3 linked regions of the Pelodiscus sinensis genome follow. The protein of the gene in region 3 interacts with the protein of the main gene of each other region in a pairwise test. Links are inferred from orthologs where the notes say so. Each region holds a gene or a part of one and is shown on either strand. Other genes may lie near its edges. The genes, in order: SH3GL1, SKAP1 and EEIG1.

Region 1 (7,994 bases), on a different chromosome or scaffold from region 3:
AGAGTGGGCATATTTTTTGGAGTGGTGGATTTTTTTCCCCAGGAATTCAGTGTTAGGAATGCATTTTATTATGAAACATTGAACACTTATCATCTGCATTCATTGCAATCAAAAGAATAGCTCTGATTTTCAACACCAAACACTGTTAATGACACTGAATGCTTGTTCAATTTCCACGCCAAACACTGTTAATGACACTGAATTGCTTGTTTGTTTCAGATTGTGGGCTGGTGCTGATGATAGAAATGATTCTACCCATGTTGCAGAGTAAATCTTGAACAAACCTAATGTTCTCATGAGGGATGTGAACAGGTAAACCCGGAGCAGCCCCTCTGTCAGCGGCTTGCTGCAGGCAGAGGGCCTCTCTAGCTCTGCAGCAGTTAGGAGCTGACCTTCCACTTAGGGAGGGGGGGCAGGGAGGGAGGCCAAACCCCTCTTCTGCATGCACAGCTGCTGGCTCCTTCTGCAGGCCCCCCCACACATGGAGGGGCTGGCAGTGGCAGCTGGGAGCTTCACACAGCAGCGGGGGGCGGGGGAAAGGGGGAGGGGGGCCAAGAACAGGAGCCACCCTTCCCCCTCACCCTCCTGCACACACAAGGCTGCTGAGGGCACTGCCCATGGGGCTGGGGGGCAAAAGCGGTATCCCACTTAATCAGTTAACTGATTCACTGGGATTTTACATCCCTAGTTCTGATTTATAACATGAAAAACCAGAACATGTCTGGTGTCCCAAAGAAATTTCCTGGGACACCAGGAAATCATATGGAATAATGTGATTGTGTTGGTAAAACTGGTCACTTTAAGTAACTGCAACCTTGAAAACACTTATGCACGTGCTTTACTTTACTAATGTGACTACAGCCACTCCCCAACTTACAAACACACCGACTTACAACCAACCATCCGTACTTACAACCCATCTCCCATTAACCCCATTATAATATTTTCAAGTTGAGAACCATGTACGTCAAGTTTTTCGAACAGCACGTTTAAGGGTATTTCCGACTTACGATCAAATTGAGTTACAACCAGGTGTTCGCAACGTAACCTGTTTGTAAGTCGGGGACTGCCTGTAGTCCCATCTGTGGCTATCACTATGAACAGGGCTCGACAAACTGTGGCAAGAGCTACTCGCCAGCCCCGCACCGCGCATGCGCCTGACTGGCACTGCGCATGTGCGCAAAGCTGGTGAATGGGGTGCACGGAGCGACTGGCTAAAATCTGCTCGCCACGGGCAAGTAGAAACAGCAGTTTATCGAGTCCTGACTATGAAGTCAAAAGCTTCAGAGGGGTAGCGGAGTTAGTCTGTAAGTGGAAAAACTTAAAAAAACAATGAATAGTCTAGCAGCCCCTTAAAGTCTAACAGAACATGTAGATGGTATCATGAGCTTTTGTGGGGACAACCCACTTCCTAAGATGAAGTGGGTTGTATGAAGTCAGTGGGGCTGCTCACAATGCATGAGGTTAAGCCGGGAGGCAGGGCGCAATCGGCACTGGGAGCCTCTGATTGTGTGTGATGCTTTAGGGAGGAGGGGAAGCCCTGTACGTAATCCTGAGCGCTGTCCCAGTCATTTTGGAGCCACACCCGGACTCACTTGTGCTTCGCCGGGACCATGCGCGGGACAGGCAGCGCTCTGGGATCTGCATGTGCCCGGGTCAGTCCCATTCTCCACTGGCTGATTCGCTCCCCAACCCCTCCTGGTCAACCAGTTTTCCCCCACTTCTCCCAATCTTGCCTAGCCAGCCCCGCTGCCCCTGCCAGCCCTACTTCCTGCAGCCAATTCTCCTCTCCTCCTCCTGATCTCCCCCGATCAGCCCCACAACCCCGACGACACCTCAAATCCCCCGGCCAGCCCTGCTTCCCGCCTGCCAATTCCCCCACTCAATCTCCCCTGGCCAGCCCCGCTGCCCCCGACCCACTCTCCTCCTAGCCAGCCCTGCTTCCCACCGGCTGCTCCCTCCCCCATTCCGGCCAGCCCCACCCGCCTCCTGGCCAGTCCCCCGTCCCCATCTGAGATCAAGTGTGTCTGGTATTTTTTTTAGCTCATCTGGTAACCCTACCATGGATGCTCTTGCGCAAAAGCACATGGCAGTGTGAACACGCTCTTGCGCAAGAAGCCTGCAGTGTAGACATAGTCTAACTGTAAGAGCCATGTGCTCCCTCTGCATCCAATCAAAGTGCTGCTACGGCTCAATCGGCACAGCCCACAAATTGTAGGTACGCAAGCACACTGAGCAAAACTACACTATCCTGGTAGATTACAACCCACTGACAAGTGTAATCTGAGGAAGTGGGTCTGGCCCACGAAAGCTCATCATCTAATAAACCATCTTGTTAGTCTTTAAAGTGCTACATTGTCTTGCATTTTGCTTGACAAGTGTAGGTTGCCTGCCTATCACTGTTAAAGATGGTATCAAATCAGAGTCTTTGAACATGAGACCCTTCATTCTCAGAGCTCAGTCCCATAAACAAGTAGCCTCCATCCCTACCATCCTGAAAAGATTTATGGAATTGCTTAACCTCATGCATTGTGAGCAGCCCCACTGACTTCATACAACCCACTTCATCTTAGGAAGTGGGTTGTCCCCACAAAAGCTCATGATACCATCTACATGTTCTGTTAGACTTTAAGGGGCTGCTAGACTATTCTATGTGAATGAAGTTAAGTTCCAAGGCTTCCCTGTGTATTTGACTTGCAGAATTGGCCCAAACCAGTTTGGTGACTTTGAGATCCAAAGTCAAGTGGATCTAAAGTGGGGGAGGTCTAGGTTGGATATTAGGAAAAATTATTTCACTGTGACTAGGAGGATGGTGAAGCACTGGGATGGGTTACTTAGGGAAGGGGTGGAATCTCCATCCCTGGAGGTTTTTCAGTCTCCACTTGACAAAGCCCTGGCTGGATGATTTAGTTGGGGTTGTTCCTGCTTCGGGTAGGAGGCTGGACTTGATGACCTCCTGAGGTCTCTTCCAACCTAGGATTCTATGATTCTATGACCCATTAATGAGTGCCCAGGCAAGTTAAAATGTTCCCCAACAGATTTCTGTGTGTTAACTTTTTGGATATCTGATTTGTCCATTTGTCCATTAATTCTTTCCCACGGAGCAGTGGTTTCCAACCTTTTTACATCCAAGATCACTTTTTAAATGTCAGGGCAAGCCAAGATCTATCCCATCCCTTCCCCAAGACTCCACCCCATCCTTGGGGCCCTGCCCTCTCCATTCCCCTCCTCTCCATCATTTGCCGTCCCTGGCCCTTACTCACTCTCACTGGCTTGAGACAGGAGGTGCGGGCTCTGGGGTGGGAAGGAGTGATTTGGTTGTGGGAAGGCGTGAGAGGTGCAAGCTCTGGGAGGCAATTTGGATGCAAGAGGAGGAGGAGAAGGGGATGCTGGCTCAGGGAGGGAGCTCCAGGCTGGAGAGTGTTGGGGTCAGGTAGAGGGTTAGGGTGCTGAGCAAGCCACAGGCTTGTGGATGTGGGGGTGCAGGAGTTTGGGTTGGGGTGTATGAGGGGCTCAGGGCAGGGGGGTTGGGTGTATGATGAGCTAAATTACAGGCTAACTTGACTACCCTCTGAAGCTTTATCACTATTATATTCACTACTAAGCCACAGCATTAATATAATTTCCATTGTTAATAGCTATACTTTTTGATCTCTCTTATCACCACTATTTATCGCTACGATAGTTTTCACCATGGCAAGTCTGATGGCTATACTTTTCACTACTGCCAAGATTCCAAAGGTGTTATCACCATTAATTTTCTCATTCATCTGCAGAAATGAGTTGTCCCCACGAACACTCATGATACCAGCTACGTGTTTTGTTAATCTTTAAGGTGCTGCAAGACGGCCGTTTTTTATAATAGCGATACTGATACATTTCACCATCACATGTGTACTCAGAAACAAAATACAGGACTATGTAGCACTTTAAAGACTAACAAGATAGTTTATTAGATGATGAGCTTTTGTGGGCCAGACCCACTTCCTCAGATCAAATAATGGAAGAAAATATATATGGTTGTGACTATTTTCTTCCATTATTTGATCTGAGGAAGTGGGTCTGGCCCACGAAAGCTCATCACCTAATAAACCATCTTGTTAGTCTTTAAAGTGCTACATAGTCCTGTATTTTGTTTCAGCTACACCAGACTAACACGGCTACATTTCTATCACTATGTGTACTCAGGAGTGTGCGTAACACCCCACCGACCCAACCAGTCCTGTGGGTTTTTTGGGGGGGGGGGTCTGTGTGTGTGTGTGTGTCTGTCTCTCTATGTGTGTGTGTGTGTCTGTCTCTCACTTTTTTTTAAATTGTATCCTTTGGTATATATGGTTGTGACTATTTTCTTCCTCTATTTGATCTGAGGAAGTGGGTCTGGCCCACGAAAGCTCATCACCTAATAAACCATCTTGTTAGTCTTTAAAGTGCTACATAGTCCTGCACTTTGTCTCTCTATGGTACTCCTCCCCGCAGGGGGCCTTGTAGTAGCACATCACCTGCAGGGTGACTCTCTGGCCGCGGCTGAACTTTTCTATGGTGCAACCGGAAGGGACACTCTTTCCAAGCGTCACGCGGCCATCCCTATGGTGGCGGCTGAGCCCAAGGGCGGCTCTTGCTCCCCCGGGCCGGCAGGGGGCGGAGTGATTCCTGGCGCGGTGGGGGTGGGGCAAGGTGAAGGGGGCGGGGCGTCTCGCTGAGGGGCGGGCCGGCTTCCGGCGCCATGTAACGTCCGGAGAGCAGCGGGCGGGGGAGGCGGCGCCGCCGCGCGGGGAGTCGGTCCGTGTCCGTCCGTCTGTCTGTGGAGCCGGGCCGCGGTGGCGGGCTCGGGTCTGTCTGTCTGTCCTGGGTTCGGGTTCGGGCTCGGGTCCGTCTGTCTGTCCGCTCCCCTCAGGCTCGGGTCTGTCTGTCTGTCCTGGGTTCGGGCCCGTCTGTCTGTCCGCTCCCCTCAGGCTCGGGTCCGTCTGTCTGTCCGCTCCCCTCAGGCTCGGGTCCGTCTGTCTGTCCGCTCCCCTCAGGCTCGGGTCCGTCTGTCAGTCCCGGGCTCAGGTCTGTCTGTCCCCCCCCCCCCCCCCGGGGTCTGCTCTGTCCGTCCCTGGGTCCCCTCCCTCTCCCCCCCCCCCCCCCCGTGGGCTCGGGCTGCCCGAGTGTCGGTCGGTGCAGGGCTGATCCGCGCCCGGCCCCCGGGCTGGGAGAGGAGGCGGCATGTCTGTGGCGGGGCTGAAGAAGCAGTTCTACAAAGCGAGCCAGGTGAGCTCCCCCCCCCCACACACACACACACTCCGCGCGAGCACCCAGCTGAGGAGCCCTTGGCTTGTGGGGCAAAGGTTGGCCACGCGTGAGTCTCAGCGATCTCGGCGCTCAGACTCTTTCTGATCCCAGAGCGGGGCGGCTATTGCCATGGCTCCGTGCTCAGGGGTTGGCAGGCCCGCAGTGGCTCCTCAGCAGCCGCCTTTATCATTGCCCCTCTGTCTCCCCCGTTGGACATTTGCACTCATGCTGATGGCGGGGAAACAGTGCTCTGTCATTAGGGTGATCCTCTATCCCAAAGGGAAAACAGAGCACCTCCCAAGTTGCCCACCTGAACTCTCACCCCACAAGGCTGTTGCTGGAACTTTGTCTCCCACCCTCCCCATCCACATCTCTGCTATCCCCTCTACCCCTTCCCCCCCCCACACACACATTCCTCCTCCCCCCACCTCACTTTTTTTTTGTCCTGTTTGCTCCTGGCCACTGATCAAGTTAGCAAGAGTAAATGTGACAAGTGCACCTTTTTTTTTTTTAACGCACAATCCAGGACAGGGCTTAAAAAACGGAACTGTACCAGCCAAATTGGGATATATGATTGCCCTAACTTTAATTCCCGACCTCTCTATTCAGATTTTTCTGCAGTTGTCTCCGTGTATGCGTGTCCATAAAGTGCTGATCCCTGCTTGAAGTAGATCCTTCCTTCCTTCCGCGTTGACTCCGTCTGCAAATGATTTGACATGGCATTGTTTTACCTCCATTTATATTTAAGGCTGGTGAGAATGGGTTGATGTGGAAAGAAAGATGGCTCAAAATTGCAGCTGTGGTGGAGGCGTTTGTTACAGCAAAGGGAGATATTTCTAAATTAAAAGCTTCAGATTGGCTGTGTCACTGCCAACTGACTATAAAGGGTATCATTTTCTGGGAAAATATCTAGGCTAATGCCTTAAGTCTGCCGGTGCTGAATGTCTCTACTTTTCACACGACAGATCTAGCCTTTCTGGTGCATACTGAGTTACTTTTTGAGTAATGAGGTCTATTTTGCATTTCGGTGAAAATGATGCAGGCTCACTGTAGTGTTCTCTTTGTAAACAAAGATGTGCACAGGGAAGCAGCAGGTAAACAGATGGCTGCTTATTATTCTTGTATCAATTTCTTCTTCCCCCTTCAATTCTTACTTGACTTATATCCACTGCTCCTTGTAACTTCCATCTGTCTTGTCTCTTTGCTAGGAATTCATTTGTTCTGGAAGTACAGAGAAGGGAAAAAATGGGGGGGAAAAATCACCATGGGATCCAGAAGTCTGACTCAGAAATTAAATGGCTTTTGTTTTAAAAAAAGATGAGCTCCATCAAATTAGTGACTTGCTGCAAATTCAGTTGTCATTAAATCATCACAGAGATCTGTGTGTGGAAGGAAATAAGGACATAGTTGCATTTGCCACGCAACTGTAAGAGGAATGCTGTAGTGTTTCATTGTTTTCAAGGGGGGAGGAATGGTGGATGAAACTTGTTCATTGCCACATTCTACAGTATTGGTGTCCTTGAGTTCCTCCCCATCAGCAAAAAGAGACAAGAAATACAACACTAAGAAGACAGAGTATGTGTCTAGTTCTTTTCTTGACATATATAAGATGACACACATAGATCCTCTTTAAATTGCAGATTAAATCCACAAATAAAGCAATAAGATAGCAAAGGTATCTATTTCTTAGGTTACTCTGTGCTCTTTAGGTTTTTATACCATCCCCATTACTATCTGTTCTGAATTCAGGAAGATAATGAGGAAGTTAGGTCTTGTTACATGAAGTGTCCTCTTAATTCCTACCATATATACACTTCTAAAACTCAGATGTGTCACGTATTGCTTAGTGGAAATGCTAGCTCAGAAAAAGCAGTCTTCCACTTGGGCCAGTAAGCAGAGAGGTGTGTGTGTTCTAGGGTGATGGCCTACTAGGGCTTCTGTATATTTCCTTGCTGTAAGTGCACTTTTCAAAGGTGTATTACAAGTAGCCGGTGATAATTTTCAATTGTCTTGAACTGTTTTGTAATGGACAGTTAATTGTGAATGAACTGTAGTAGCTTTCTGGTCAGCAAGCACAACTTAAGGTTATTGGAGCAGAAAACTCTAAAAGGCATAATTACAAAATGTGTCGTAATTCTCTGCATGCTGAATTACAATTTTTAAAAAAAGTCACAAATCTGAAAAGATGGGAGGGAAAAACACATTGGAGAGGGAAGACTGTGAAAGGTACCAAGTGGGAAATTCTGGCCTAGAAGGTGCAGTTGTAGCTAGGAATAGCAAGCCCCTTGTTATACCTGGGGTTGAGTAAAGAGCAGCAGCAAGCTGCAAGATAACCTCAGGAAGCTCCCTCTTCCTTGATAGTAGTTGGTATCATGAAGCAGAAGAGATTTTGTGGCATGTGAATGTGATGAAATCTGAGAGAGAGCGAGCGAGAGAGAGCAAATGGAAGCCTTGACATTACAGGAGGAAAATCTGTCCAGTGTACACATTTTTAATGACCTATTACCGAAATAGTTATTAAACTCCCTAGATGGGACAAGTAAAAGCTGTGATCCTGAGTTCAAAGTGTGTGTGTTCATGCTTTCATCAGAAAGGGACCCTACCCAGAAATCAGTGATAGGAGTCAAATTCTCTAAATAAATTTAAGGGAAGCTTGGGATTAATTCCCTGCTTCTCATGAAATTCACACACTGGTCTCTCCCTTGTTCTCCTAGCTTCTGCTA
Region 2 (7,499 bases), on a different chromosome or scaffold from region 3:
GGCCACTGTCACTAACAAGCCATTCATTAGCCTGCCTGGGCACTCGTTAATGGATCTCAAAGTCACCGTATTATTGCAAAACCAATTACAAAAGCCAGCTCGATAAGGGAAGCTACAGAACTTCCTTTCATTTACAAGTTTGATTCCCGCAATGGAAGTCTGAACAAAGACACTGGCTGGATGGCCCGCTACATTCCACATCCTAATGACATAAAAAACCAAGCAAAGGGAACTGAAGGATGCTTGGTACCCGCTTTATCAGCTTCATTTAGCACTAATTGACAATGTCTTTCCCCATTTTTCTTCTTCTTTTTCCTCCGCTTCCTCCCTATCCCCTTTCTGTGCCTATTTATTTGAAAACTCGACCCCTTATACTCCATTCATCCGAAGAAGTGGGTTGTGCCCATGCAAACTCATGCTCCCATACACGGTGTTTGTTAGTCTCTAAGGTGCTGCAAGACTATTTGTTGTTTTTTAAGTTTTTCCCGTTACAGGCTAACACGGCTCTCCCTCTGAAACTATTCACTAGCTATGCTTATTGTGTTATCTAGAGCAGTGTTTTCCAACCAGTGGTAAGAGTACCTTCAGGGGTACTTGAGAGAAGTTGGGAGCGCAACTGAAATTTGGAGAAAACTGAATTTTTGTTTTAAGTTTGACAGCGTGTTATTATTTTTGTACTTTTTACACCCCGAAATTTTATCGCCTGCCCGGCTACGATTAAGTTCTTTAAATAAATGTGTTTCAATGGTAGAAAAAAAAATTATGTCTGAAAACTGTAGGTATCAGGGGTACTTTTTTTTTGAAAAAGGGATACTTTATAACAAAAGATTGAGAAACACTGCTCTATAGCACTGAGACATCTCTGAATAGGGTTGCAAGGTGCCCGGTATTGGCCCGGACAGTCTGGTAATTGCATCTTCTGTCCAGTAAAAAAACCAGAAAATACCAGATGTGTAAAATTTTCGGTATTTTCTGTTTGTGTCAGACTTTGGTCCCTGTTTTTTTTTTTTTTTTTTGCTCACCCAATTTGCATCCCACCATGTTTGGTATTTTTTGTGACACTATCTGGCAATCCTGTCCCTGAGCTATGCAGGAGCATAAAGGACCCAGTTTCACTGTCAGGAAGTGGACGACCCTGACAATACATTCTTGGTGTCTTATTCCCCATCTTCGTTTTCAATCAGCTCTCCTGATGCAGCACCGAAGCAGCGTGGCTGGAACCCCTCCTCGCGCCCAGGCCCCCCGCACAGCTTGGTAAGACGAGGCAAGTTTGATACCGAGGTATGTGACACGCAATTAATCTCCATTCACGGCCTGCTCTACTTGTCAGCAAACAAAGGCTCCGCTTTAGAAGGAGATCTGAAGACTTCAATTAAAAACAGTCAGCTAACAAGAAAATAATCTGCGTGCACGGGAGGCGGCAGGTGCAGAAATGAGTTGTTTACAAAAGTGTCAGGGCTGAACAGGAAAATGCTGCACATCAAAAATGCAAAGTGGGGGGTTGAACTTCACTGCAGCCCCATGATTAAAAATAAAGAACAGGAAATGCACATCTGTAGCAGGGGGGACGGGGACCACAAAGCATTTGAAAGTCAGCTTTGATGAGCCAGCTCTCCCCCTCTCTGTCTGTGTAGGTCTCAGTGCTGAAAGCTTCGCACACCCCAAAAGGGGAGAAAGGGAAACACCCCTAGTTACTGCTGGAATGGAGGGGTACAGAGCACCTCCCGTTTTGCTGGAAATGCACTGTCATCAGAGTGGCAGAAGAACCCAGGGACAGTGTCAAATTTACATACAGTAACTTTCCCTGTGTGTGGGTCTGTGACAGCACCACAGGGGAGAGAAACAGCCAAAAGGGATTGTTCAACCATACACAGGGGAACTGAGGAGCGGGTGTAAGATAGGAAACAACTCCTCCACACACGCAAAAAATCCTCCAAGGTCAAGTTAAGTGCTCAGGCATCAGAGTGCTGGGAATAAGAGGTTCTAGGCATAGCTGAGCTGGAAAGCAACATACATGCATCCCTGGTGCTGAGCAAGTCACCCCCAGATGCGGGAAATTTTCCCAGCGCCCAAGAGTACAGTATCAATAAGACAGGATCAATAAAATTTGTAAGGGTCTGCGAGGAACGAGCCGGCTCATGTTCATAGGGTGCTTTGAGATCACCAGACAGAACGGGCCGGTATTGTCACTGCTCAACCTCCTCGCTGCTTTTGAGACGAGGAGTTTGGTGAAGAAATGACGGGAAACGGGTTTAGAAACATCCACGCGCGCCAAGCGGCCGCAGTCATGCGCCGGAGACGGTCAGGGCTGCTCGCTGGATCCCCAGGTAGGCCTGTCAGTGGGGGGTTGAGCACAACCTGCCTTGCCAGCGGCAGAAGGGACAGCTAGTGCCATGTCTAGTCTTCTGGAAGGGGGCCGCGTCCCTTCGAATTGTTACTGACGTGGGAATGGCGGCCAGCAGGCCGAACGTGCTTGGTGCACCCTCGCGCTGCAAAGCAGGAGATGCCGTCACATCGTGACCGGCCAAAGTCGCAGCCTCGCTTGGTCTGCGGGATGCTTTGAAGCCCCCCCACATCAGAACAGCCATACCCCGCCAACGCCCTTCCTTACAAAGCTAGACATCTCCCCCCCCCCCCACTACACAGCAGTAACACCCACCTTCCAGGTGGCATTTTGCGGCCCAGTAGAGCTCAAATGACTTTTCAGAGGTGGTCAGGGTCACGAGCCTCGTGTTAGAAAGGGGAAACTGAGGCACCGGTCAGTGACGTGACTCGCCCAAGGTCACCCGGATGCTCGGTGGCAGGGGTAGGAACGGAACTCGCATCCGGGTGCAAGCCCCTAGGCCCCCTTCCTGGCACAGAATCATTCCAAGGAGTGCCAAAATAACCCCACAAGCACCAAGCCCAGCACCCAGTGCCGGAAGGGGGAGAGGCCTACGCAGCGAAGGGGCCTGGATCCCCCCCAGAAGGAACAGCCCCTGCTCCGGGTTGTGGGGCACGCAGACCTTCTCCTCCTGGAGCCGCTTAAAACGCAGCCTCAGCCCACCCCCCCGGGAGCAGAGACAGGGCGCCGGGGGTTACCTTCAAGGAGCTGCTGGACCGCCTCAGGGATGGGGGCTGTGGGCATCTGCATTGGGAAGCCAGACGGGACGTGCCCCCAGCGAGAGCCTCCAGTGGCGGCGGCTGCTGCTGTCCCTGCGGGCGAGAGGCTGCCTGCTCCAGACAGAGAGGAAGCCAGAAGGGTGGGGCCTGCTCTGCAGAGGGAGAGGCTCCTGCAGGTGTTTCCTGTTTCACCTACCCCAGGATAGCAGCCCTCAGACACCTGCCGGAGGCCCCAGCCCTCCCTGGGCCAGGGCCCTGGAAAAGCAGGTGCCCCCGGGCGATTGGCCCGGCTGCTTCCTGCACCTGCCCCCCTGTGGCCGCCGAACGCTGGGCAGGGAGGGGGCGCTCTGCCCCTTCACCTCCTGCATCTGCAGGGCTCGCCGGGGCAGGGAGTTGAGTTCTGCCCCACCGCCGGGCACCGGCCTCCGTCCCGGCCTCCTGCAGAGGGAGGCAGCTGAATCCTGCCTTGCGGCCAGGGACTTGGCTAGGCCTGGGGCTTGCCCCAAGAGAGAACCAGATTTCACCCACCAAGTGTCCCTTGCAGGCCTGTTGGTGGGGGAGAGGGGCAAAGGGGATAGTTGCCCCGGGCCCCGGAGATTCAAAGGCTCTAGGCAGCTATCAGAGCTGGCTGGGAGGTGGGGGGGACAGCGTGGCACGTGCTGGGAAGCACTGACAGCTGGCTGCCCCAGTCCTGCCCTTTCCACCCCTTCTGGGAGTGAGGAGCCCCCCCCACGCACACACCCCTGGCCCAGGGGCCCTGCAAGTCTGTCGGTCCCCCGATGGGTTGTGAACTCCTCGAGCACCAGAACCCTCTTACCATGGAGTCAGAGACTGTCTTCTTGGGCCGGCCGGGCTATCTTACCCCCCAGGCAAGGTCGCCTTTGTGATCGATGGTCCCTTAGACCAGGAGTGGCCCCCGGGCCACCGCCCCTCCCCCCCGGGAACCCTCAGGCACAAAGCAGTCCCGCGCCGCTTTAAGCAGCTGGCTGCTCCCTGCGGCTCTCTGCTCTGAGTGCCTGGGAGAGGGGAGGCTTCGCCTACTGCCCCCGCCCCAGCACGATCTCTCACAATCCCCCTGCCTGCCCCTGTTTACGGGGTTAACCGGTTAAACAGAACGTGTAACCAGGGAACAGATTAAATGAGATTTTACATCCCTGTCCCATGCCCCTCTCCCAGGCCAGAATCCTCTCCTGCACCTCCATGAGCCTGCACCCCATTTGCCTGCCCCAGATCATAACCCCCTCCTTCACCCAGACCCCCCCTCTGGCCCCACACCCTCTCCAGCAATATGCAGATTATTCCCAGGTAGGGCTGGCAACTTTCTAATTGCAGAAAACTGAGCATCCTTTACCCTGTGCCTGCTCCACCCCCTGCCTCAAGCTTCTGCCTCGTCTCTGAGTCCTGCCCCCACTCACTCCTCCCTCCCCCACCCGTTGCTCGCTCCCCCCTCGTCTCTCACGCTCATTTTCACTGGGCTGGGGCTGGATGTTGAGGTGCGAGACAGTGGGAGGTTCTGGCTTGGGGGGCAGGCTCCAGGATGGGGACAGAAAATGAGGGGTGCAGGATGCAAAAGGGGGCCATGCTGGGAGGGTGGGGCTGAGGGGTTCTGGGAGGGGGCTCCAGCCTGGGGCAGGGGGTTGTGGTGGGGTACAGGCTCTGGGCTGGGAGTGCATGCTCTGGATGCAGCCAGAAAAAAGGGGTTTGGGGTGCAGGAGGGGGCTCTGGGCTGAGGGGTGGGGCCAAGGGATCCAGAATGTGGGAGGGGGCTCCCGCCTGAAACAGGGGGTTGGGCTATAGGAGGGGGTACAGGCTTTGGGCTGGAGATGCTCTGGGGTGGGGTCAGTAAAGAGGGGTTTTGGGCCCAGGCAGGAGCTGGAGCAATGGATTGGGTGCAGGAGGGGATGAGGGGTGCACGCTCCAGCAACACTTACTTCAGGTGGCTCCCAGGAAGCAGCAGGAGTTCCCTGTCCCCAGCTGCAGGGGCCGCCACTGCAGCTCCTATTGGTTGCAGTTCCTGGCCAATGGGAGCTGTGGATCTGGTGTGTGGAATGGGGACAGGGCTCAGGACCCCCGGAGCCAGCCCTGAGCCAGAGGGACTTGCTGGCCTCCTCGCGGGGGCTGCATTGGCAGCCCACTCACCCCACAGCCCCCAGTCAGACAGACATCTAGCCAGCCCCATACTAAGCCAACTCTAGATGTGTTAACTAGGACAAGGAGCTGAGAGTTCAGTGCCGCAGTGACAGCTTGTGAACACTGCCCCCACCCCCGTGAGAGTTGGCTGTAGTGTCACATGACTAGCTTTCTATGGCCTTTAGGGCTGATGACACAGCTGGGAACCCCCAGTGCGACTGACGGGGGGGGGGGGAAGGAGCAAAGGGAGCAGCTGCCCAGGGGCCCGGCAATTTAAAAGAGCTGCAGGTGCGGCAACGGCTGGAGTCCTTGCCCCTTTAAATCACCATCAGAGCCTCAGATGGTGTAGGCCGGGCAATGCTGAAGGTCTGGGTGGGGAAGGCTAACCCTCAGCCACGCCCCTTCTGGGGGTCCAGAGATCCCCCTCGCGCCCCCCACCTTGCCCAGGGGCTGGCAATTCTATTGGTATCCCTGAGAACTCCTTCCTCGTGCTAGGTAGCTTCACCCCCCAGAGTTAAGTGGCATAGGGGTAACAATTGCACCTGGTTGTTTTGGCTCCCTCTTGCAGATCACAGATGCGGCTAAAACCTTTTGTACCCGCGCGGGGCTCTGCTTATTAGCGCTAATTCCTAACCCCGTTCGTCTCGCGCTAGTCGCTGGTTTCACGAGAGCATCACTCAGGCAAGCCAGAGCTGTTTCAGCTCTGCATTGGTCAGCGGCCTGTGAACTTCGGCCCAAGTTCTGCCCGCGGCGCTGTGAGTATTTATTAGTATGTCCCCCCGATAATAGGCGTCTCCATGAGCTCGCCACTGTTACTCAGCTACCTTTTTACTGCTGCCCCGGGACTTTGGCCACGTCTTCTCCTGACACAGGAAATAGCCTTAAAGGTGGCAACGAAGTTAACCGTTTGAGCCGCGTTCATCTGCATTACGCGGGCGCCAGCCTCCCGAAGTGCAACTGGGTGTGCCCCTGCCAGCAATGAATGTAGCCACGTGATCACAGGGTTGGAAAGGCAAAAACCTGGAAGAGAAGAGAAGAGAAGAGAAGAGAAGAGAAGAGAAGAGAAGAGGTGGAGGGCAAATATACAGGGAACGGGGTAAATAGTTTCCAGTTCCCTGACTGAACTGGCCACGTAATCAAGGCAGACAGGCACCTGGGGCCAATTAAGAACTTGCCTGAAGCAGCCAGCTAATCAGGGCACCTGCAGCCTATTAAGGCCTGCTGGGGCTAGGTTAAAAGGCTTCCCCTCAGGCACGGCAGGGGGAGGAGAAAAGCCAGGGGCACAGAGGAAGAGGGGTGGTGCCGGAGAGCTGAGGTCTGCGAGGAGGGACGTGCGCTGTGCAGGAGCAGAAGGGACTCGCTCAGGTACCAGGGAGAAGGTCCCGTGGGGAGCATCAGGGGAAGTGAACAAGGGTGCAGGACTGAAACGCTGCCTGCTGCCACAGCCTTGGGGTCACTGGGCTGGAGCCTGGACTACTGGGTGGGCCTGGGTTCCCCACAACCCTTCCCACACCACTAGAGAGTCTGCCCCAGAGGCGGAGACCAGGACTTCAGAGGGGCTTCACCCCTATGCTTGGACTTGCCTATGAAGAGGATAGCTCGGAAGGCTGCGACCCTCGGCCTCTAGCAAAGGACCAGAGGCTTTGTGGAGGGTCACAGTGCGCCTCTGAGGCAAAGGATAACTCCCGAGAAGTGCCGGACCCGTGGGGCACGGTCAGAGCTTTGCCACAGGGTGTATTGCCTCAGAGGAACAGCAGCCTAGTGGTTAGGGTGATGGCTTCAGAGGGGCAAACTGGCCTGGGGTTGTAACAGAGATTCGCCAAAGTTACTCCATTTTTCAGGTCTCCACCTAGCACCCGGTGCCGGCGGGGGACGGTTGTGAGGATGACTGTACCATAGATGTGAGAGGCTCTGAGGTTCTGGCAATGGGAGGTGCCCGTTAAGCACCCACCGTACGTGAATGGTCACGTGCCCGTGCCGTGACTGGCGGCGATGTGCTGCTTTCTGAGGCCACGTACACAATAAGAGGGAAAGGATGTGGTGTGTGTAAGGGTGGCAGAACTCAGATAAAGGAAGAACCTAAGATGCCTGGCTGGGAGGTTGTTTCCTGCGGGGTTTCGTTCCGCTGCAGGTGCGTGTGTGGATGCATTTTAGTATTTTATCTGCATCAAGGGGCCTCCACGAAGGGAAACCAAACCAATTTTTAAAGTTATGATGTTGGGGGGGGGGGGGTTAACTGAACTATAAATAATATTTGATATAAGCGC
Region 3 (8,136 bases):
AGAAGCATTTCCTGGAGGCAGCACATTTTTTCCGGGATACCATAATGTAGATATAGCCTGGGAGGTGGGAGGCTCGGGGCTGGGGCAATCCTGGATGGGGAGGTCATGCCTTTTCTCTATGGTTTTATGGTTCTGTCTCTTTTCTGTATGGTTTTATGAGAAGCAATGCCATTCCAGGCACAGTCCATTTTTTTTGGCACAACCAAACCCTGACCTTCCTTTTAACTTATGAGAAGAGGCAGCTGTACACAGAATTTGGTGGTCCTACTTCTTACCATTTAGGAAGAGTTCTTGTACAAACAGACAAATAAACAGATGAACTTTCTCAAGTATATAATAGATGATATCTTCATGACCCTAGAGCTAACTAGTCAATTACATCTTCTCTCATCAAAGAGACCTTTAAAGATGTTAATTCATCAAGACTCAAATGTGCAGTAAAAATACAGAAATACCTAGATGGAGTTTCAGAATAATAAAGAATCTCTGTCCCACGAATTTAATCCCAGTTTCCTGACACTTCCTTTGTTAGAAAGACATATCTCTATTCCTGTGAATCCAACTACTGTTGTTATATTATACACTGTTCAGCAATTCTCTGGGCATTTTTCCAAGTAAATTTATTTTTAACATCAGGCACATTATTCAATTAATTATAAAGCAAACATTGAGGTTTTCAAGAGATGTTTCTGACAAGGCTGTAGAGTAAATATTCGTGAGAACAGCAGGGCTTAAAATCTCTGTACATTTTAACATCCAGTCCTTTTGCTATAAGCCCTGGAGAGAAGTCCTTAAAGGAGTTATTTATTAAAGCAAATCACAATAGATATCCCCAGTGTGCTACTAACGGGACAATTAATCATTTCTCTAGAGACAGAAGTGGGTACACCATGCCTCTGAAAATGGATCATAGAGAAAGTTTGCAGAAGGAGAGGTGATCTTGAAATGCTTCCAAAATTCTACAGGGACCCCCATACCCTTCACAGCCTGGCAGATTTAAAATATCCAGCAGATTTGACTCTTCACCACAGTATTTCTATTAAGGAATAGGAGGTGGAAAGGCTATGTAGATATTCCTCCTCACCCTGAATTTGGTCACATGCACTTTAAGCCTGAGCATGTGAGCAAGAATCAGCATGGCAAAGTGTTGCTCCTAATAAGACTTGAAGATATCAGAGTATCCTAATCAGACGTGAAGTTTCCATGTGCTTTTTCTGTCACTGCAAAAAGGTTTCATACTAGGCAGAAATAATGTAATAGTTCTTGTAATAGTCTGCAGTAGTGAATAAAGGCAGTGATTCTAGATGTTAAATGGGAGGAGTGGGAAATTGGCAATGGGAGCCAGGACTCCTGGGTTTTCATCCTGTCTCTGACAGACTTGCTATATGAGACTGGGCAGGTCACTTCCCTTCTGTGGGCCCCAGTTTCTCTCTCTGCAATATGGGTAACAGCCCTAATTCTAGAAGGCCCTTAAGCAATCCCTACCATCAAGTCCATAAGTCCCAACGATGATTGCAAGTAGTTTGGGATTGGGCCCCTCTTTGTTGGCTACATCTAGACTGGCATGATTTTCCAGAAATGCTTTTAACGGAAAAGTTTTCAGTTAAAAGCATTTGCGGAAAAGAGCGTCTAGATTGGCACGGACGCTTTTCTGCAAAAGCACTTTTTGCGGAAAAGCGTCCGTGCCAATCTAGACGCGCTTTTGTGCAAAAAAGCCCCGATCGCCATTTTCGCGATTGGGGCTTTTTTGCACAAAACAAATCTGAGCTGTCTATACTGGCCCTTTTGCACAAAAGCTTTGCGCAAAAGGGACTTTTGCCCAAATGGGAGCAGCATAGTATTTCCGCAAGAAGCACTGATTTCAGACAGTAGGAAGTCAGTGTTCTTGCGGAAATTCAAGCAGCCAGTGTAGACAGCTGGCGGAAAAACTTGCCAGTCTAGATGCAGTCGTTCTGTGTTTGTACTGATCTTAGCACAGTGGGACCCTTGGCAATGACCAGGTCACATGGGCATTACCATGATACAAGAAATAAATAGCAATATAGCTTATTTCCATGCTTAAAGCTAGGAATGTGCTTAAGGACCTTCCTGAATCCAGACTGATAATAATCTATGGGATCAGAGAGCTGTGTCAATTAAAGGCTTGAGGCTAGATATGAAGTTCTAGGGAAGGGCTAAATACAAGTGTTACTGGTATCACCAGTAAGTTATCACAAGCCTCCTGTTATTTGATGGCTTTTTTAAAGATCCACACCCAAATCCTCTCAGGCAGGAGTGGGCAAACTACAGCTTGCAGGCCATCTCCAGCCTGTCAAACCTTTTATTCTGTGCCTCAAGCTTCCCTCTGGGCAGTGCTGTGAGCTCTAGGCAGTGCTAAGGCCTTGTTCCAGGTGGCACTGAGAGCTACCTGGGGGCCAGTGTGGTGCACTCTGGACGGTGATGAGGGCTGACTACCCTGCGCACCCCTTCTACCTGAGACCCTGACTCTTCCGGAAATGTGGAGCCAGCCCCCTGCTTCTCCACACACACCTTGCCCAGGTGCTTATGGAGGCTTTCAGTGCCTCTGACTGAGCCTACACCCCTAACAGGAGCCCTCATCCCTTCCAACACTCCAGCCCGCAGTTTTGTGAGCACTCATGGCTCGCTAGTGATGTTAGATATTGATTATTCAATAGTCCCCAGGAGTGGGGGCGGTAGCCAGTGCACTCTGGCCCTACTCCCAGGGAGCACCCTGCCATCTGCGCTGCTGCCTGTCGCAGGGGATGCTCCGCCACTCCACATAGGGAGCAGCGCTGGGGAAGGGAGGTGGCTTCATGAAGCTGGTGCTGGTGGGGAGCTGGCTTTTAAGCCAATGTCACCCAAAGCAGCAGGTCTCACCTGTCGTCGTCCCCCCCCCCCACTACCTCTGCCGGAGGCAGCAAGAAGGGGGTCAGGCAGCTCTATGGAGCTGGCATGCATGGAGAGCCAACTTAAAAGTCCGCTCCTCACACACATCAACTCCTGCCTACCTCCTTCCACTCTGCTGCCTCTGACAGAGAGGTAACAGTGTGGCTACATCTAGACTGGCATGATTTTCCAGAAATGCTTTTAACGGAAAAGTTTTCCATTAAAAGCATTTTCGGAAAAGCGTGTCTAGATTGGCAGGACACTTTTCCGCAAAAGCACTTTTTGCGGAAAAGCGTCCGTGGCCGATCTAGACGCACTTTTCCGCAAAAAAGCCCCAATCACCATTTTCTCGATCGGGGCTTTTTTGTGGAAAACAAATCTCTGCTGTCTACACTGGCCGTTTTGCCCAAAAGTTTTTCAGAAAAAGACTTTTGCCCGAACGGGAGCAGCATAGTATTTCCGCAAAAACACTGACACTTACATGAGATCGTCAGTGCTTTTGCAGAAATTCAAGTGGCCAGTGTAGACAGCTGGCAAGTTTTTCCGGAAAAGCGGCTGATTTTCTGGAAAAACTGGCCAGTTTAGACACAATCTGTGTGTTGGGGTGGGGGAGGTGGCTCTGCGGAATGTGATATCTGTGGGGAGCCAGCTTGAAAGTCGCTTCCCACATGAACCGGCTCCACCTACCCGCTTCACCCTTTGTGCTGCTCATTCTCTGTTGAGGGTTGCCAGGTGTCCAGTTTTGAACTGAACAGCCCAGTATTTGAGATTTCTGTTCAGGAAAGAAACTGAGAAAATATAAATGTCCGGTATTTTCTAAATAAAATGTAATGTAGATTGTGGTGTCAAGTGTGTCTGGTATTTTTGTTGAAACCATCTGGCAACCCTCCCTCTATCAGAGGCAGCAGCGTTGGGGTGGGGGGGGGGGGAGGCAGCTCCATGGGATCTGGTGCTCATGGGGAGCCAACTGCACTAGCTCCTGCCCCCCCCCCCCCCCACTGCCTCTGATACAGAAGGGGGGCGGGGGCAGGGTATAGTGGCAGGGATTAACCAGCACGCCCGGGTTTATCAGTGAATTGTTACCAGCCCTGCCCCCAGCAGCGCCCCCGCCCAGACCGGCCCTCAGGCCGAACGTTTGCCCGCTCCCGCTCCACGGTGTTTAGGTGAAATCAGGGAGTTCGGCAGCAGCGCCTGAAGTCACGTGATGGGCTGAACTGCTCAGCGGCCCTGCAGAAATGAAAGGAACTTTCTGGCTCTCGGGGCTGCAGAGAAAAGCGAGAAAATGCGGCACGAGGGCCCCGCAGGTCCCCACCCCCCGGGCAAGCGATCAGCCCGGCACAGGGCGCGACGCAATCCCGCGCTGGCGAGGCGGGGGCAGCCTGCTGGAGGGTGACGCTGCTCTATTTCCGGCACGGTCCTGTCCTGTCCCGCCCCCACTACCTGTCAATCAGGTTCCCCCCCCCGTTCATCCTCCTTTTATCCCCCTTTCCCTGCCCCTCCCCCCGTCTATCTCCTCTTTTCCCCGCCCCTTTTCTCCCACCTCAATTAGGAGGAAGGGGGAGGGATGGGTTTTACCTAGACTGACAGTTACCTCCCTCAACCATCAAGCCCATATCTCGCCCCTCCCCCAGTCTTTCGGTGGCGGCCAATCCGAATCTAGAGCTACGAGTCCTTCTCCCCGCCCCTTGCGCTGCTGCCCAATCAGAGGACGGCGCTCTCCTCCCGGCCCTGTGGGAGGGGGGGGGGAATGTTGTCTAGGCTGTCGTATTCTCGAAGCGTGGCGGGCCCGCTGGGAACGGCTCCACTCTGCGCCGTGAGCGCGGCCGGCGCACGTAGCGTAGGAGCGTTCGCAGGGGCTGCGGTGCGGGCGGCCGCTCTGCGGGGAGCGGCAGGAGGTGAGCGAGGTCCCGGGGGTCGCGCCGTTCGCCTGCCCGGGGCGCTGCGCTCACGGTGCAGAGGCGCGAGCGGAACCGGGCTGGGGCAGTCCCGGGCGGGCGGGGCTGCGGCTGGATCCGGGCCCCTGGCGAGGAGACCGGTTGCACGGCGGAGGCGGGCAGAGACCGGGCTCAGCTCATCGCATGTGTGAGCGGATCCCCGCAGGCCTTTAGCGAGACTCGGGACAGGGCCCCCCAGCCCTCGTGGCACCGCTCTGGCGTCAGACCCCAAGCGGCTTGCAGCCCCCCCCATGTCTGCTGCCTCTGCTCCCACTTGGGTTAAATCGGCACAGGGGAGACAGCGGGTCCGACCCCAGGAACTTTGCTTAGGTGAAGACTCCCTCCGATATCCCCCCTGAGCCAGGGGGACGCTTAGAGCTAGTTGGGGGAGGGGCTGAGATAAGGGAAATTGCAAATTTCTAGGGGGGGATGGAGGGGGCCAAAACGTTGAAACTTCCCAAAGAACTCTGACTCCTTCCCCCCATTTCTCCAATATTTTTCAGTGGATTAACTGTTAGACTTGCTTTCCTTAAATTGCTTTGAGATCTATGGCTAAAAATCATTCTAGGACAGATCAGTATTAAACACTTATTGAAAAATAGAGTGCAATCCAGGGGCAGTGAAGATGGCAGTAGGCAGAAAAGGGAGGGGGGTGGAGGAATCTCTGAAGCAGGAATCTCTGGATTCCTTGTCTTTAGACAACAGTGAGGTGGGACAGAAATTACCCATCTAAATAGATTTTGGCAGAGGTGCCCAGGACTGACTGAAACTAATTTATTTACTTGTTTCCCTCCCTACTTGACATTAGCCACCTGTTGAAGCAGTAGCCACAGAGAGCGGTAAAGTTGTCACACAAGGGGAGGAGACTGAAACCAGGAAACCTTGACTGTGTGATCTGTAGACCTAGGATTTCTTCCGACAGACTAGTTCAGGATGACTTCTCATCAGAGATGGTTTCCGAAAGGGGCCTGATGGACACAGAGCACCACAGCCTTTAAACACAAGAACTGCAGTCAGGGGAGCTCCTGCGGGTCTGGAGCTTGGATTTTTCTCCCTCCTTTTCCTCCCTGGAGATGTTTGAGAAGTTTACTCTGTCCTCTTCCTCAGCACCTGAAGCCTTCCAGGGCAATGATTTCACAGCCAAATCAGACCACCAGAGAGAGAAGAGGATTGTGCATTTGATGCCGGCCTTCATTGCAATTGAACAGAAATTTACACGCTTGATTTTCCACTCCTGAAAGGGCTGCCTGTGCCTCTTTTTCTCTGTGTGCATTTTGAGAAGCTCCTCTCTGATCTTGTTCTGAGTTCCTGGACTTTTCTCAGAGCCTGCCCATGGCTTTCCTGATGAAGAAAAAGAAGTTTAAATTTCAGACCAGTTTCACCCTGGAGGAGCTGACTGCTGTCCCCTTTGTGAATGGTGTTCTGTTCTGCAAAATAAGGCTGCTGGATGGAGGGGACTTTGTTAGTTTGTCTTCCAGGTAAGAGGTTCTGTATAATTCTCTTCTCACTACCCTTATACTCCTCCTTTCCCTGTTTAACTGTGTTGGACTGAATTATTTAGTATATTGCTAACACTTGCCTGCCCCTTCCACGTGATTTTTAATAATCCTGCTGCATGCCATTTCTCTTCTTTCCCTATCTTGGCAGAGCCCACAGACTGGTTATTGTTGGGTAGGTATGTGTGTGGCCTTTGATAAGAACTGAATTCAATTCAGCTATTTGGGGGTGATGTTTCTGAAAGATATTGGGGTCTCTCGATGAACACTTTGATCACAAATCTCTCCCCCCTCCAAAAGAGAGAAGCTCTCACATAGTATGTAGGAAAGAACTAACCAAACTGTACTTTTGCTTTAACTCAGTAGAAAATTGCATCTAAACCAATCAACTTTTTTCTTCTTCTGCGTTACTGTCTTTGGTAAGGGTTGAAATAGCTTGCTTTGCATTGCAAATCGCCTTGCAAAGGAAAACAGCAGCCCTGTAGCTAAAGTTGTTAGTTTCAAAACCATGGATTAATCTTCTCGAATAAATGCTGTTGATCCACCTGTTTGCCATAACTTTTTACGGACCCAAGCACTGCAGCAATAGTGTAATTTGTAACATTTGGACCACTCTTGTAGAATTCATTATTAAGTCCCCTTCCCCATTGTGGGTTGGCTTAGCGTCTCTCTGCCTGCTTGGGGGTTCTATGTCCCCACTCTTGCTAATCAAAATCTGTTTTGTTGCCAACTATTCACCTTGATTATCACTTCCTGTCTTGCTGCTTCTGAATGTTTAGGGCAGCCTTTAGTGGTTTCCAAAATCAGATTTTATATAAACCCTAGAGTAACTAACAACATATTGGGCTGTTAGAACTGCTTGGTTACAGGGAAAACTGAGTCTCCAAAAGTGCTATACGTGCTGAGAAGGGTGGGAGTTGCTCTTCTCCAGGAGAGAGGGTTTTTACTGGTTTTTCTATTTTGCAAACCTGTGTATGTGTGTCTGAGCAACCCTGCAGCAGAGTGCCCAGGCCTGATTTTGAAGAAGTGCTGAGCTCCTCTAATCCTGATGAAGGTTGTGAGAGCTATGGTATCTCTGGAAAAGCAGACCCTAAGTGAATTCCTCCTAGGAAAAAGACTGTCAAAATAACTTTTCCTTGCAATTTTCTTCCATGTGTTTGGTAGAAGTAACTGGTCTAAGGAATTTGAACTGTGAGAGCAGGGAAGGAATTTAACCCTTTTACTTCCTAGATCAGTTCATTCATTTGGAAACTGCCTGGTGGACTTGGTCTCGCTGGATTTCCAGCTTCTTCGTGTTGTCCTAGAAGCAGGTCGCAGGAGTGCCAATTTGATGCCACTGCCAGCCTTGTGTGGGTTGGCACTGTGGGGTTTTCTTTGGCTGTTCATGGTTCAGGAGTTTCCTCAGTGTATTCAGGTGCCTGCAGAGAAATCATTTGTAATTTAAACCAAATGCATATTTTACTGATTTGGCTTAATTGCTCATAAACCTGCAGAAGGGGAAGCGGGATGTTGGATTTGCCTTCTTTCCCCTACCCTGTCTCTGGTTTAACTGAAAGCATGTGAAACCTGTTCCTGTTAGAAAAATTACTAGGCTCAGTGGTATTGATTCATTTGACCACTTCCAAACTTTAGTCTGTTGCGGTCTACTTTTGTAATAAATTGTGATCTTCTAGGAACTGGCAGAAGTAGTTACCATGTACCAAGGCTCCCCATACTTACCTTGACTTGTAGTTTACTGCTTTTTCCATTTTACTGTGACCCTTTTGAAATTCTAAACGTATGGGGAAAGGTTAGGAGGAATTAAGGGACATCATCTCCAT

Evidence for each region.
Region 1: the proteins of EEIG1 (region 3) and SH3GL1 interact in binary tests that used the Homo sapiens proteins (3 or more experiments, as listed by UniProt). The two-hybrid records come from large-scale screens. The link is inferred for Pelodiscus sinensis from reciprocal best matches to the Homo sapiens genes EEIG1 and SH3GL1.
Region 2: the proteins of EEIG1 (region 3) and SKAP1 interact in binary tests that used the Homo sapiens proteins (3 or more experiments, as listed by UniProt). The two-hybrid records come from large-scale screens. The link is inferred for Pelodiscus sinensis from reciprocal best matches to the Homo sapiens genes EEIG1 and SKAP1.

The regions. Positions count from the first base shown.
Region 1 is NC_134729.1:22,494,270-22,502,263, reverse strand, and holds the start of SH3GL1 (endophilin-A2), read left to right. Parts: upstream 1-4,694; 5' UTR 4,695-4,894; exon of another isoform or gene 4,895-4,925; intron 4,926-4,952; 5' UTR 4,953-5,205; coding exon 5,206-5,250; intron 5,251-7,994. UniProt on the Homo sapiens protein: Implicated in endocytosis. May recruit other proteins to membranes with high curvature.
Region 2 is NC_134739.1:14,029,427-14,036,925, forward strand, and holds the start of SKAP1 (src kinase-associated phosphoprotein 1), read right to left. Parts: upstream 3,291-7,499; 5' UTR 3,134-3,290; coding exon 3,082-3,133; intron 1-3,081. UniProt on the Homo sapiens protein: Positively regulates T-cell receptor signaling by enhancing the MAP kinase pathway. Required for optimal conjugation between T-cells and antigen-presenting cells by promoting the clustering of integrin ITGAL on the surface of T-cells.
Region 3 is NC_134732.1:10,485,598-10,493,733, forward strand, and holds the start of EEIG1 (early estrogen-induced gene 1 protein), read left to right. Parts: upstream 1-4,622; 5' UTR 4,623-4,781; intron 4,782-5,628; 5' UTR 5,629-6,152; coding exon 6,153-6,298; intron 6,299-8,136. UniProt on the Homo sapiens protein: Key component of TNFSF11/RANKL- and TNF-induced osteoclastogenesis pathways, thereby mediates bone resorption in pathological bone loss conditions.